2 linked regions of the Drosophila melanogaster genome follow. Changing the gene in region 2 together with the main gene of any one other region gives a genetic interaction. Each region holds a gene or a part of one and is shown on either strand. Other genes may lie near its edges.

Region 1 (5,429 bases), 7.5 Mb from region 2:
TTAAAGATTTCTTTTACAATTTGTATCCCCCATTAGCCTGTGGCAAGTGCGCCGGTTATAGCCACTGCACTTGCAGCTACCTGGATGACAGCACCACGGCGAGGAGCCATCAGTTGTCACAATCCTCGAATTACGGCACCAATTCTTGGCCACTAAGTGGATCCGAGTCATCGGCACCCTGCGAGACGGCAGCTAATGTGTTTACGGTCAACCACCAGCACATCACCTATAACTATCCCATCTACCATGCAACTCCAGCGGCGGCCACCGCGGCACCTAGTAAATCTCCCAGTTTGCCCTACGCCTGCAGCATTTCGGAACTGGCCGCATACCAGCAATCCTCCAGCGGGAACAGCTTTGCGATGGGTGTTCCCGTGCACGGACACACACAATGCCAGGCAGTAGCCTATGATTCCAGCCCGCAACTGGCCACTCCGGAACCGGAGTTCATCAACTACTCGCAGATCAAGCATTTGGGTGGTGGCGGTGGTCAGGAGGAGATCAGCTGCAAGGCCGAACCGGGACCCACCATTAAGTACAATGCCACCGTGGAGACGCAGCCGTATGTGGAGGACAACTACGATTACTACTATAGCCCCAAGGCGGAGTACGAAATGCAACAGCACCACCACCAGCAGCAGCAGAGCCACCAACAGTTCGGTGGAAATCAGACAGCGGGACATCACTACTACGAGAGCAGTAGTGGCTATAATGGAGTCAGCTATTTCGACACAGGAACTACTACGGCACCAGGAAATACTGCAACCGGAAATGGCCTGGAAGTCGGATACGGCGGCTACTACGATCACTACACCAGCTACGAGCAACAAATGGCGGTAGCAGGTGGATTTGCCACTGCCGGAGGATCCACTGCGCCGACAGTGGCCGCGCCCCCTGGCCATCCACCGCCTCCACCACCACCGCCCACGCTGACGTACCACCATCACCATCACCACCACTTGCACCACCCAGCAGCAGCTACAGGCCTAGCCCCATCGGTCACCCATTGAATAGTACTTAACCAATCCGGACACCGGAGGATTACTCATAGTCGATAGCTAAGCATAGTAACATAGTGTTTAAAATAGTGGTGAAATCTTAATTTCCATCTGTACGTGTAGTGTTAAACGGTTTACCAATTGTTTTTCTCGGCAAATAAATTATGAAAAGTGTTGATTTGTAAAAGTAAATGTATTTAATTTAAGTGCGTAAATATAATTTCTTATTGCGCGACCAATTCAAACATAGCTAATTTTCAGCGGTCATGATGGTGCGGTTCTTGAAATCAGAGATAGATGTCGCGCTGTAAAAAAATTGTTGGTAAGAACCATGTAAAATGTAATGGTAAAAACCATGTAATGTAGACAAGCAGGTGCTCACTTAACCATAACTGTAGTAATTTTAGGACGCATTTAATGATTTGTAGTTTAAAATCGATAGATAGTAAGATATACTTTAATACGAATGATGTTTTATAATTGGCGGAAACATTTAAAGAAAAACAAATTGGCTGCCAAGACCCAAATTTTGTACCGCTTACATGGCTTGCAGTTTTTTTTTAAAAAGCCTCCTACCGGTAAGAAACTGAACTACTGCAGAGTTGCTTTACGATAAACTCACAATGACACACAGACACAGACACACAGACATAACCAGACTAAAGAGAATAGTACTACAAGTTATAATCGCTATCTTCAGCAAGAGGATTTCACATTTAAAGTAATCGCATAGTGGCCAGCAAAACCTATCGCATAGATGTGCCAATCGGTCTATCCATTCGAAATTCACCTTCACCAAACGCGACATACACATATGCAAAAAGAGAGCGTATAGCAATGAGAAGCGTGAGCGTGAGTAAAAAATCTATAAAAGCAACTGCGACGTGCTCATTTTGGTAAAAAATTTAGCTGTGCTGCAAAGAGCTGCCCGAGTGGTAATTAAGTAACTTTTGTACATTTCTACCGGTTCCGTCTCCACATCTCCCATCCAACATGGTGTACCAGGTGAAAGATAAGGTGAGTCACTTCAACCGGATCTATGGACGCATCACATCCGTCATCTATTGGGTAACTCGATAGCGCTACCCTTTGACCCCTCAGTTCCAGTTACACGTTTATTTTTTCGCTCCGGACTTTGAAAATATGGCATTGGAAGCGGCATTCCAATTAGCCACTTACTTTGAATGATTGGATTCGCTACGCTTTTTGCCATACGCTCTCCCGCGAATAGAAGGAACTCACGTTCGGTCTAGACGAGCGAGAAAGCGGAGAGCAAACGAGAAAGTTCCGAATAGCAGCACAGCGAAATGATAATGATATCATCCCGTGGACCGCAAAACGGGTCTCAACGGAAACCGAATTTTGAAATTGAAATATTCCGGACCGAGCTAATCGGAAATAGTGCGAACAAGATATACGTACTATAGAAACCACATATGTACGGATGTGTGTGCGACTGGCATGAATTTGCAATTCATTATCGTGGTCGAGGCCTGGTTTTTTGGTTAGAAATATTTCGAATAGTTGCTATAGCACAGGGTGTGCTCTCCACACATAAGTTGCGCGCCATGCAAGTTGATCCAAAGCCAAGAAAACAAAAGACGCGAGTGCGCGGGGTGAAGAACCGGTTCCATTTCATGAATACAAAGTTACGTCAGGAAATATTGGGAAGTAAATACGTGAAAGCATGCCTTCTTATTTTATTTCTCAATATTAGTTTATTTATATTTGTATACACACTTAAACACTATCAAACATTGACTCTCGCGGTCTAGTTCTATACAGCAAACCACACAACAATAAGCTCAAAAATCAAAAAATGCTTATCGAAGGCATAAGGAATCCACGAAAACATCAAAACATTTATGCATACTGAATTAGACAATATAACAAAGTAGTTTAACTACTGATTTTAGTTTTTTATGTTTACTCAGATATTGTCTTAAAAAATGAGTCAGCAATACATGTTGACAAATTGAATTGTAGCCAACAGTCATCGAGTACCATCACCATCTTGAGATTAATCATTCCATGACGTATGTGTCTGCAATAGAAATGATCTAAGCCTGATTAAAATATGTAATAGGGATGATCAAGTGGTTTTGTGCTAGCAAAAATAGCGTGTATAAAGTTAAATTTCTTGGGCATATACTTATGCAAATTCCTCCAAACCGGTTGCCCATTCCAATTGAAATCGTCAATTTCATTAGAGCTCTGTGCTTGCATGTGCTGTTCTGCGATTGGCATCGCTAGCAATTAATTAAAGGTCATTGGGAAAACGTGTCACGGGCAGAGAAATGGGTGGAAGAAAGGGGATGGAACTGCCCACGACCGCCACACCTTTCGGCATACATACATATAATTTGGAAATTCTTTAAATATTGATTTGCTTTGCTGCCCAATGGGTGCAATACAGAAACTGAAATGAAATTGACCCGATTTCACAAGTTTATGAAGCACACACACATATTTAACCCGTCAATCGGCGATTATTGGGGCTGATTACAGCTTGGCAACTTTGGGGATGTCTGACAACGTTGTGTTTGCAGGGAACAGGCTTATCGGGCGAGATAGTAGCGGGGCCTCCCCAACGCAATATGTATATTTACAATAGCACCGGATCAATGCTCCACAATCGGAAATCATAAAGTTTGAAAACATGACCACCACCTGCTAAAGGGAAAATTACTGAAACATCTCTAGGGAGTGGGAAATTATTAGCGCTAATGTATGATGATATTACTCAGAGATAGTACTAATTTACATTTTCATTTGCAGGCCGATCTCGATGGACAGCTGACCAAGGCATCCGGCAAGCTGGTGGTGCTGGATTTCTTCGCCACTTGGTGCGGACCCTGCAAGATGATCTCGCCCAAACTGGTTGAGCTTTCCACGCAGTTCGCCGACAACGTCGTCGTCCTGAAGGTAAATCTAAAAATGTGCTCAGCTTTATTTTATTTGCTTAACACTTTTTATGGAAATCCTTACTAAATGCCCTTCTCCTACAGGTCGATGTGGACGAATGCGAAGACATTGCAATGGAATACAACATCTCCAGCATGCCCACCTTCGTGTTCCTCAAGAACGGCGTCAAGGTCGAAGAGTTCGCCGGAGCCAACGCCAAGCGTCTGGAGGATGTCATCAAGGCCAATATCTAAGTGGGCAGCGCATAGACGTCTGGCCGTCCCCCTGATCCACCTATGAGTTTTCTTCATAACATTTAGTTAATTAATTAATTCCATAAGTGCAGGGTTTTGCTCCATTCCGCCTGCTCCGCCTTGTCCTTGAATCCCTTAGAGCTGCAGTGCAGTTCGCAAGGTGAAGGTCAGCAGTGGCAGCAGTTGGAACAGCAACAAACGTGAGAAACTAAGTGGCTTTTAAACGTAAAATTTGCTTTGTTAACAAAATCAATAAATCACACAAAGATTGTTCATTTTTGTATGAAAAACATTAGAAAACGCAGTTGTAGCCAGTTGTCCAAGAGAATACGCTAAACAATAAATGTATTACACACTCGCCGTTTGTAACCGATTAAATTGTTTTGCAAAATTCTGAAGGGGAACCTGGGGTGAGGTCGGATCTAGGAATGACACATAAAGTTGTGAAATGAAAGCCAAGTCAAATATCAGTAGCCAACAAGCAGACAAATGTCGTTACGGTTAAGTAATAACGATTAAAACCGGGTAACTACCGATTAGATAAGATACGGCAACAAATTTGTATACTCCAAAGGCATATCAAGTGCGTGATCAAAATGGCCATTTCATAATTAAAATCCACCAGATTAAAGCTAATTTTAAAATTTCCATTTTGAGAAGGCTCTTTTTATCTGTCAAAAAATATATTTTTACATATGTATATTGACAACGAAATTCAAAAACAAATTATATATTTCCTTGAATCCGTGATTGAACTATAGAATATCACTAGGCATTATTAAAAAATTTAATAAATAAATGAACTTATTTGAAAATGAAAATAAGGTAAAAGGTACCTTTCTTGCGATCAATAATATCAAAAGATTTAAATTTGTCCAAATTATGTTTGACAGCATATCGAAAGTTGCCAAGTTGATTCTTGCCATAAAGTTAAAGAACGAAAGTAAATGGGAGACAATATAAAAACAAAGTGATTAATTAAGAAACTATTTTTAATTAATTCAACATTTATTTTAAACATTTGAAAATAAGCCGTTAGGCTTGGACGAACAATCGATACTTGGCTTAGTGGGGACAAAAACCGAATGCAACACTGCGCCAGCTGTGTTGGTGGTGGGAGCGAAAATTGCCCGATTTTTCAGTAGTGTTTTTTTTTCAGTAGTGTCAGACTCTCGGTGACAACAACACGTCGGGAAATTGCATCGCTGTGGAAAACAATAAAATAGAGCGTGAGAGTGAGAGACAGTCGCGCGGGTGTCGGTCAGAAATAAGC
Region 2 (5,607 bases):
AAGTCAGGTAGGATCCTACTTCAGCGAAAATAATATTTCGCGAATTTTATTGATCCTCGCTATATTCAGCTAATCCAGCCTAAAACCCTAAACCAGGTGCTCGTCTTTTATAAGGCAGATGGTTTAGTCAAATTCTGGGAAAATTCCAAAAAAATATGTACATTTAAATTCTGTGCCGTTGTGAGACAACTCGGACAATAAACAAATGGGTTATATGATTGAAGTAAAAAAAATAAGTTCCAAAGTTCCTACGATTTATTTAAATAAGAATCAAAGCAAAATCTCTTAGGATTAGTTAAATAACGGGTGCCTCAGGATCAAAAAGCGGATTTTTCAACACCGAAAATGAATAATTTGAACAGTTTAGTTGGTACGGTGAATTTTTTGTCAACAACTTTCTGGTGCTTGGTTTATTACGAAAGTTACACACAATTCAACAGAGACCCGCTTGTCTACGACTTTTCAATATTTACACGGAGATATGCACTTTGCTGCTACATAACCGAATCAATGTCGTTGACTACAAAATAAGGTTTATTCCAAAAATAATAAAACTAAAATTTCTGTTGCATTGCGTCATTGCCGTTCGTATCTAGTTGCAGTTGCAAATGTACACAGTAAACACAGTTAAAGGCATTCGGGTTGGATAGGTTCTGTTCGGTGCGTGCTGATAAGCATATCAGGGTAGCCAGATCTTCTCCATGGTCCCTCGGGACTCGCTGTTCTCTACGCGTGAATCTCGAACAGTTTGGCCACCTCATTGAGGTCATCGTACTTCTTATTCTGATTGATTATTGTCCTAGCTAAGCCTATCCGATTGAAGAGGTTCCACAGCAGGATGCCGACGATCTTGTCGTTCTTCAAGTAGAATATTACACCCTTGCCATAGTTGCCCGCCTCATCGGGATCACAGGTAACGCCATCTTGGCTAGCCCCGGCATCAGATTTTGACGACTGGCTGGAACTCGTACTGGTCTCCGGCACGTCGGAATCACTAGACTCAGACAGTTGGTCAACGCGCGTGGCGGATTCCGAGGGCAGGGCGAACACACCAACGGTGGGTAGCGAGGAATCCACCAAGCCAATACCCTCGTATCCGATCTCTGGACCTAGATCGGACCAAAACATGCTCTGATGTTGATAAGGTTTCTCTGCAAAAGGTACGGCGAACATTATGATCGATCGGTTATTAACTTTAAGCCCAGTAACTTACTTGCTCCCGTCATGTTCTCGCCGGCCAGCCGACCAGAGACCACCGAGTGATCATGGTGCTCCACCCGTCGCCTGCCCAGCAGAGGATCGAAGAAGCAGGAAGCATCACCGGCCACGTACAGGTTCCGCCTGGCCTCCAGCTCTGCATTAACCACAAAACCGCCGAGACTTCTGTCCACCTCTAGCCTGCTGGGTCCCGCGAGATCCGTGTTTGGCGTGCAACCCACGCAGACCACCACCACGTCCGACATCAAAGTCATTCCATTGTTTAACTCCAACTTTAGATTGGTTTCATCGCGAACTGCCGAGCGAATGCTGGCGTTGGGGATGACGCAGACACCCTGGGCTTCCATCTTTGCCGTCGTCCAGCGACTCAAGTAGTTTGGAAGGACCTTTGACATGTTGGCATTTTCCTGGAACACCTGGTACACTTTACCGCCATTGTTCTCTCTGGAATAGTGTGCCAGGGAGCAGGCCAGTTCACTGCCGATAAATCCATTGCCAACAATTGTGATTGAACGCTTTTCCGCCGCCAATTTGCGGAGGCGATCAAAGTCATCGGGTGTGCGATAGACCATTACTTTTTCGAGCACGCTGGGCGGAGCATCACGCAGCATGGGCAGGTTCTTGGGGGCACAGCCGGTGGCAATTAGGCATTCGTCGTAGCTTATCTCGTAACCGTCGTTCAACGTCACTATGCGTTTTTGAGCGTCCACCTTCTTCACAGAGAAACCTTGAGCGACGGCAATCCCTCCATTTGCATTATCATCCAGATCCTCGGGGTCAATGAAAAACTCATCCGGCTCAAAGAACAAGCTGTGAACAGGAAGGGAATAACTTAATGGGTTTCAATTATATAAAAAAAGTTATTCAGACCTACCTTCTCTCGGATCCCGTCCATTGTTTGAATCGATAGTCCTTGATGGGATCCTCGTTAGGATTGGGCGTATACCACAGTTCCTTGGACAGTGGGGGGCGCATGTAGGGTTTGCGGAACTCGTTGCTAATCATTAAAACCTTGGCTGTTGCATCGTTAGACTTGATGGCTCGGAAAGCAGAGAAGGCAGCGGTTCCGCCGCCGATAATCAGGTACGGCACATGCTTGGGAAGGTCCTCAGAACTGGGCGGACCTGCGCATAGAGAGAAAGTGATAAGTTACCTCGGCCTATCTTGAAAATTGTTGTAATTATTATCCAATCATGATGATTTTGAGGTATGTATAAGATAATGCTTATCTGAATCAGTTGGCAAATGTGGTTTAATCTAGCCTACCAATTCAAAAATCTATGGTTTTCGCTTTACTTACTCGTGGCTAGTCCAGCAACTAATCTACGTTTTCGTTCCTCCTCCTCCGCCTCGGCTTTTTTGGCTTCACTGTCATCCGTATCCCGCGTCATAAACCAAGCGAGCTATATGATAGCAAAGTAATTAGAGAATATTTCCTTTAGATATCAGATCGAAACATACAAATCCTCCGGCTAACAAGGCAGCCAGGGCACCCAAGAGGCACTTAAGCCGTAGGTCCTTCATCCGACACTCGCACTCCTCGTCTCCACCATCACCGCCACCGGGAGCAGTACCATCCTCGTCGCAGGGCTGGCAGGTGGTCTCCTTTCGTTTGCGCTTGAATTCCTCGCAGGGACTAGTCGCTTTGCAGGAATCCAGGACGGGTTGGCTGGTGCTGAGCTTTGCACTGTCCGACTTTAACACATCCTTAGCACTGCAGACGGACTTGACGTCAGCAAAGCCCTGGAAATTGATTATATTGTTTAATATTTGTTAATAACTCTGCAAGTCTTTGATGGGGATGCAAACTGGTTTCTGTTTAATAACCCAGCTATGTTTTCGCTAGTTATCAATTTCACAAGGCTTGTAGGAAGTTAGTTTGCATCCCCAACTTATCCAGCTAATGCAAATGGATGGTGAATGGTATGAACGATGGGTACCACTTTAAAGAGTGGCTCCGATTGGGAATGGGCTTGAAACTGGGCATTGGCGTAGGCGGGAACGCCGGCTCCCTCCACCGCCGTCTCGTACTCTTCAACGGGGGGCGTGGTCGAGGGCTTGGTGACGCAGACTTGATGATTTGGATATTTGTTGGCTTGCAATTTGGTGCGCGCCTCAAGGGTGCGTTTCTTTACCATTTGATAGAGGCTGCTGTGGGCTGGCCGAAGAGGAGCTGAAATCGACGTGAATGCTAGTTAGTTATCGGCAAAAACATGAAAACACGGATCGGTTTGGCCAGCCGGCCATAACCTCACTTACCGTATGCCGGCGGCGAGCGCTGCGGCACTGGACCCAATAGCCTTCTGTTGGCCAGGATGTACGCCTGCCGGATGAACCTCTGCGTCAGACATCGGACCCCCCAAATACTCATCGTGATTTGCACTGGCTGCGGAGTAGGTGACACCACAATCCACAATTGTGTAACGTAACAACGTTGTGCGGCGAAAGAAACGTGTGTTTTGCGAGTTCGTGTTTTATTTACAAAAAAACCAATTTCTATGACAAATTTCTCCGTGTGAAGTCCGGCGGTGTTTAATTGATCTCGACTCCTTTATCCCTCCTTGCTTTTGGGTAGTCCGCGTTTAATTTATATTTATTTTTCATTCCCTCGCCTGTCTTGTTTTTTTCTGTCTCTGTCGCAGTGTGACCGTCGCAATGAAATGGGAAATGGCCCAGCGCCTATTCGAAATTATTTGGCTTGAAAATAGCCACTTTTTATCAAAAAGTGTTCGTTGGTTTTTGAAATGTTGAACAATATTTAATTTATTTTGAGCAAGTGAAATTTTAAAATCGAACTTACAAGCTCTTTGTTTTGAAAACGATAAATATTAAAAAACATGTTAAAATAAAGATGTGCTTCCAAAATAAAGAATAAAAATTCTTATGAATACCACTTATGTATGTTGTCAGTACAATTGTGCATTAATATATATTAAATACATGTGGGAACATTCATTTATCAGCACTCGCTTGCTGCAAAGCGGCTGCAGCAGCTGCTCCACTTACGGGAGGCTTGATGTCCATTAGTTGGCACAACTGGTTCCGCAGCGGACGCACCTCCACCAGCGGCTGGGTCCAGTCCGTTTCGGAGAGCAGTGTTAGGATCTCATCCATATTCTCCTCGGGCACTTCGGTGACATCGCCGTGCAGAGCCAACGCTTCGTACAATTTTGTGGCAGCGGTTTTGCGAACGTGGACGTGCTGCAGTCCAAGAAATACTGAGAGCTTGGAGAGGATGCGTTTAGACAGGCGAGGAACCTGGAGCAACTGGCAAAAAGCACTGATGCTGGTCGCAGTCTTGTACAGCTTCTTGTAGCCCTTAACCTCCAGGTTGAGCAGCCTAAAGATATCCTCTGCAAAGGGATTTGCTTCATCGTGTAGAACCGATTCTACAGTTCCGGAGCCAATGAGTATATCCAGGAAACTGAGCAGAGGATAGGTCACGCGCTCGTTTAGTAGATGCTCCTCGAAAATCTGGACCACCTCGGAGCAGAGACGCGGAACAGTCTCAGGATTGGAACGCAAGAAGTGGAATAAGGCACTGGAGGCATACTTGATCTGCAGGAAGAATATTTTAGAGATTGATATAGAGGTGGTCTATACAACTTACAAGAGATTCAGTCAGTTGACCAATGCTGGCACTCAGACCCAAAAGAACTCTTTTAGAGTAATCCGGCAGAGAGAGCAGCTCGCAGAACAGCGGGAATGTGTGATCGGCAAATAACCAAAGTACGGAATCCGCATCCGCGGGAAATATTTCCAAGAGTTTTGAGTGCTCCCGTATGTAGGGGATCCTCGGCTGATGATGGATCAGTTGGCAGCAAAGGCGACCACCTAATCCACGAGTGCGATCGATCTTCTCCACCGCCTGTTGCATAAAGCCCACGACAATCTCATGCACTTGCTCTGGGGCGAGGAGATCAGGCGGACACGTAGTGACGATTTCGTATAGCGATGACATAGCCGCCTCCCTCACCCACGCTCCGATGTCACCACGGTTGTCCAGGGTGTACTCTTGAAGAGCTCTTAACAGGCATTCGATAACCTTGTTAAAGTTTTTCGGCTCAGCAAATGAGTCTGAAAAAATAATTGTATACTAAGATTTGTTCACATTCTTAGCCCACAACTAAGATCATTGACTCACCAATTCCCCCTCCATATCCCACGGTCTTCACCAACTTGGTCAAGGCCAGCACGCTCTGTGTCCGTGCCTCGCTCCACCTGTATGCCTGGATGTTCTCGCGGTCACCCATTTCACCCACCAGAACTGCTTGCAGTGGAGTTAGGGAGTGCTTCACCAGACTGTCCAATATAGCCTGCAGATGACAGCGGATCATAAAGGATGGGAGCACACCCAGAGCAGCAATGTAGCCCATGCGAATGTGCTCC

The links. A genetic interaction does not mean that the proteins touch.
Region 1: of AIF (region 2) and Trx2, changing one suppresses a phenotype caused by changing the other (phenotypic suppression), as found in Drosophila melanogaster (one study listed by BioGRID).

Annotation. Positions count from the first base shown.
Region 1 is NT_033779.5:9,611,526-9,616,954, forward strand, and holds Trx2 (thioredoxin 2), read left to right. Parts: upstream 1-1,640; 5' UTR 1,641-1,850; intron 1,851-1,888; exon of another isoform or gene 1,889-1,907; 5' UTR 1,908-1,991; coding exon 1,992-2,015; intron 2,016-3,776; coding exon 3,777-3,923; intron 3,924-4,006; coding exon 4,007-4,156; 3' UTR 4,157-4,879; downstream 4,880-5,429. Other genes in the region: gcm2, read left to right, coding at 37-1,010. UniProt on the Drosophila melanogaster protein: Participates in various redox reactions through the reversible oxidation of its active center dithiol to a disulfide and catalyzes dithiol-disulfide exchange reactions. As a reducing substrate of peroxiredoxin 1, thioredoxin 2 is preferred over thioredoxin 1.
Region 2 is NT_033779.5:2,150,017-2,155,623, reverse strand, and holds AIF (apoptosis inducing factor), read right to left. Parts: upstream 3,871-5,607; 5' UTR 3,590-3,870; coding exon 3,478-3,589; intron 3,392-3,477; coding exon 3,159-3,391; intron 2,962-3,158; coding exon 2,680-2,961; intron 2,622-2,679; coding exon 2,519-2,621; intron 2,343-2,518; coding exon 2,093-2,342; intron 2,029-2,092; coding exon 1,214-2,028; intron 1,152-1,213; coding exon 727-1,151; 3' UTR 519-726; downstream 1-518. Other genes in the region: Tbcd (Tubulin-binding cofactor D), read right to left, coding at 4,171-4,776, 4,829-5,295, 5,363-5,607. UniProt on the Drosophila melanogaster protein: Probable NADH oxidoreductase. Mitochondrial effector of cell death that plays roles in developmentally regulated cell death and normal mitochondrial function.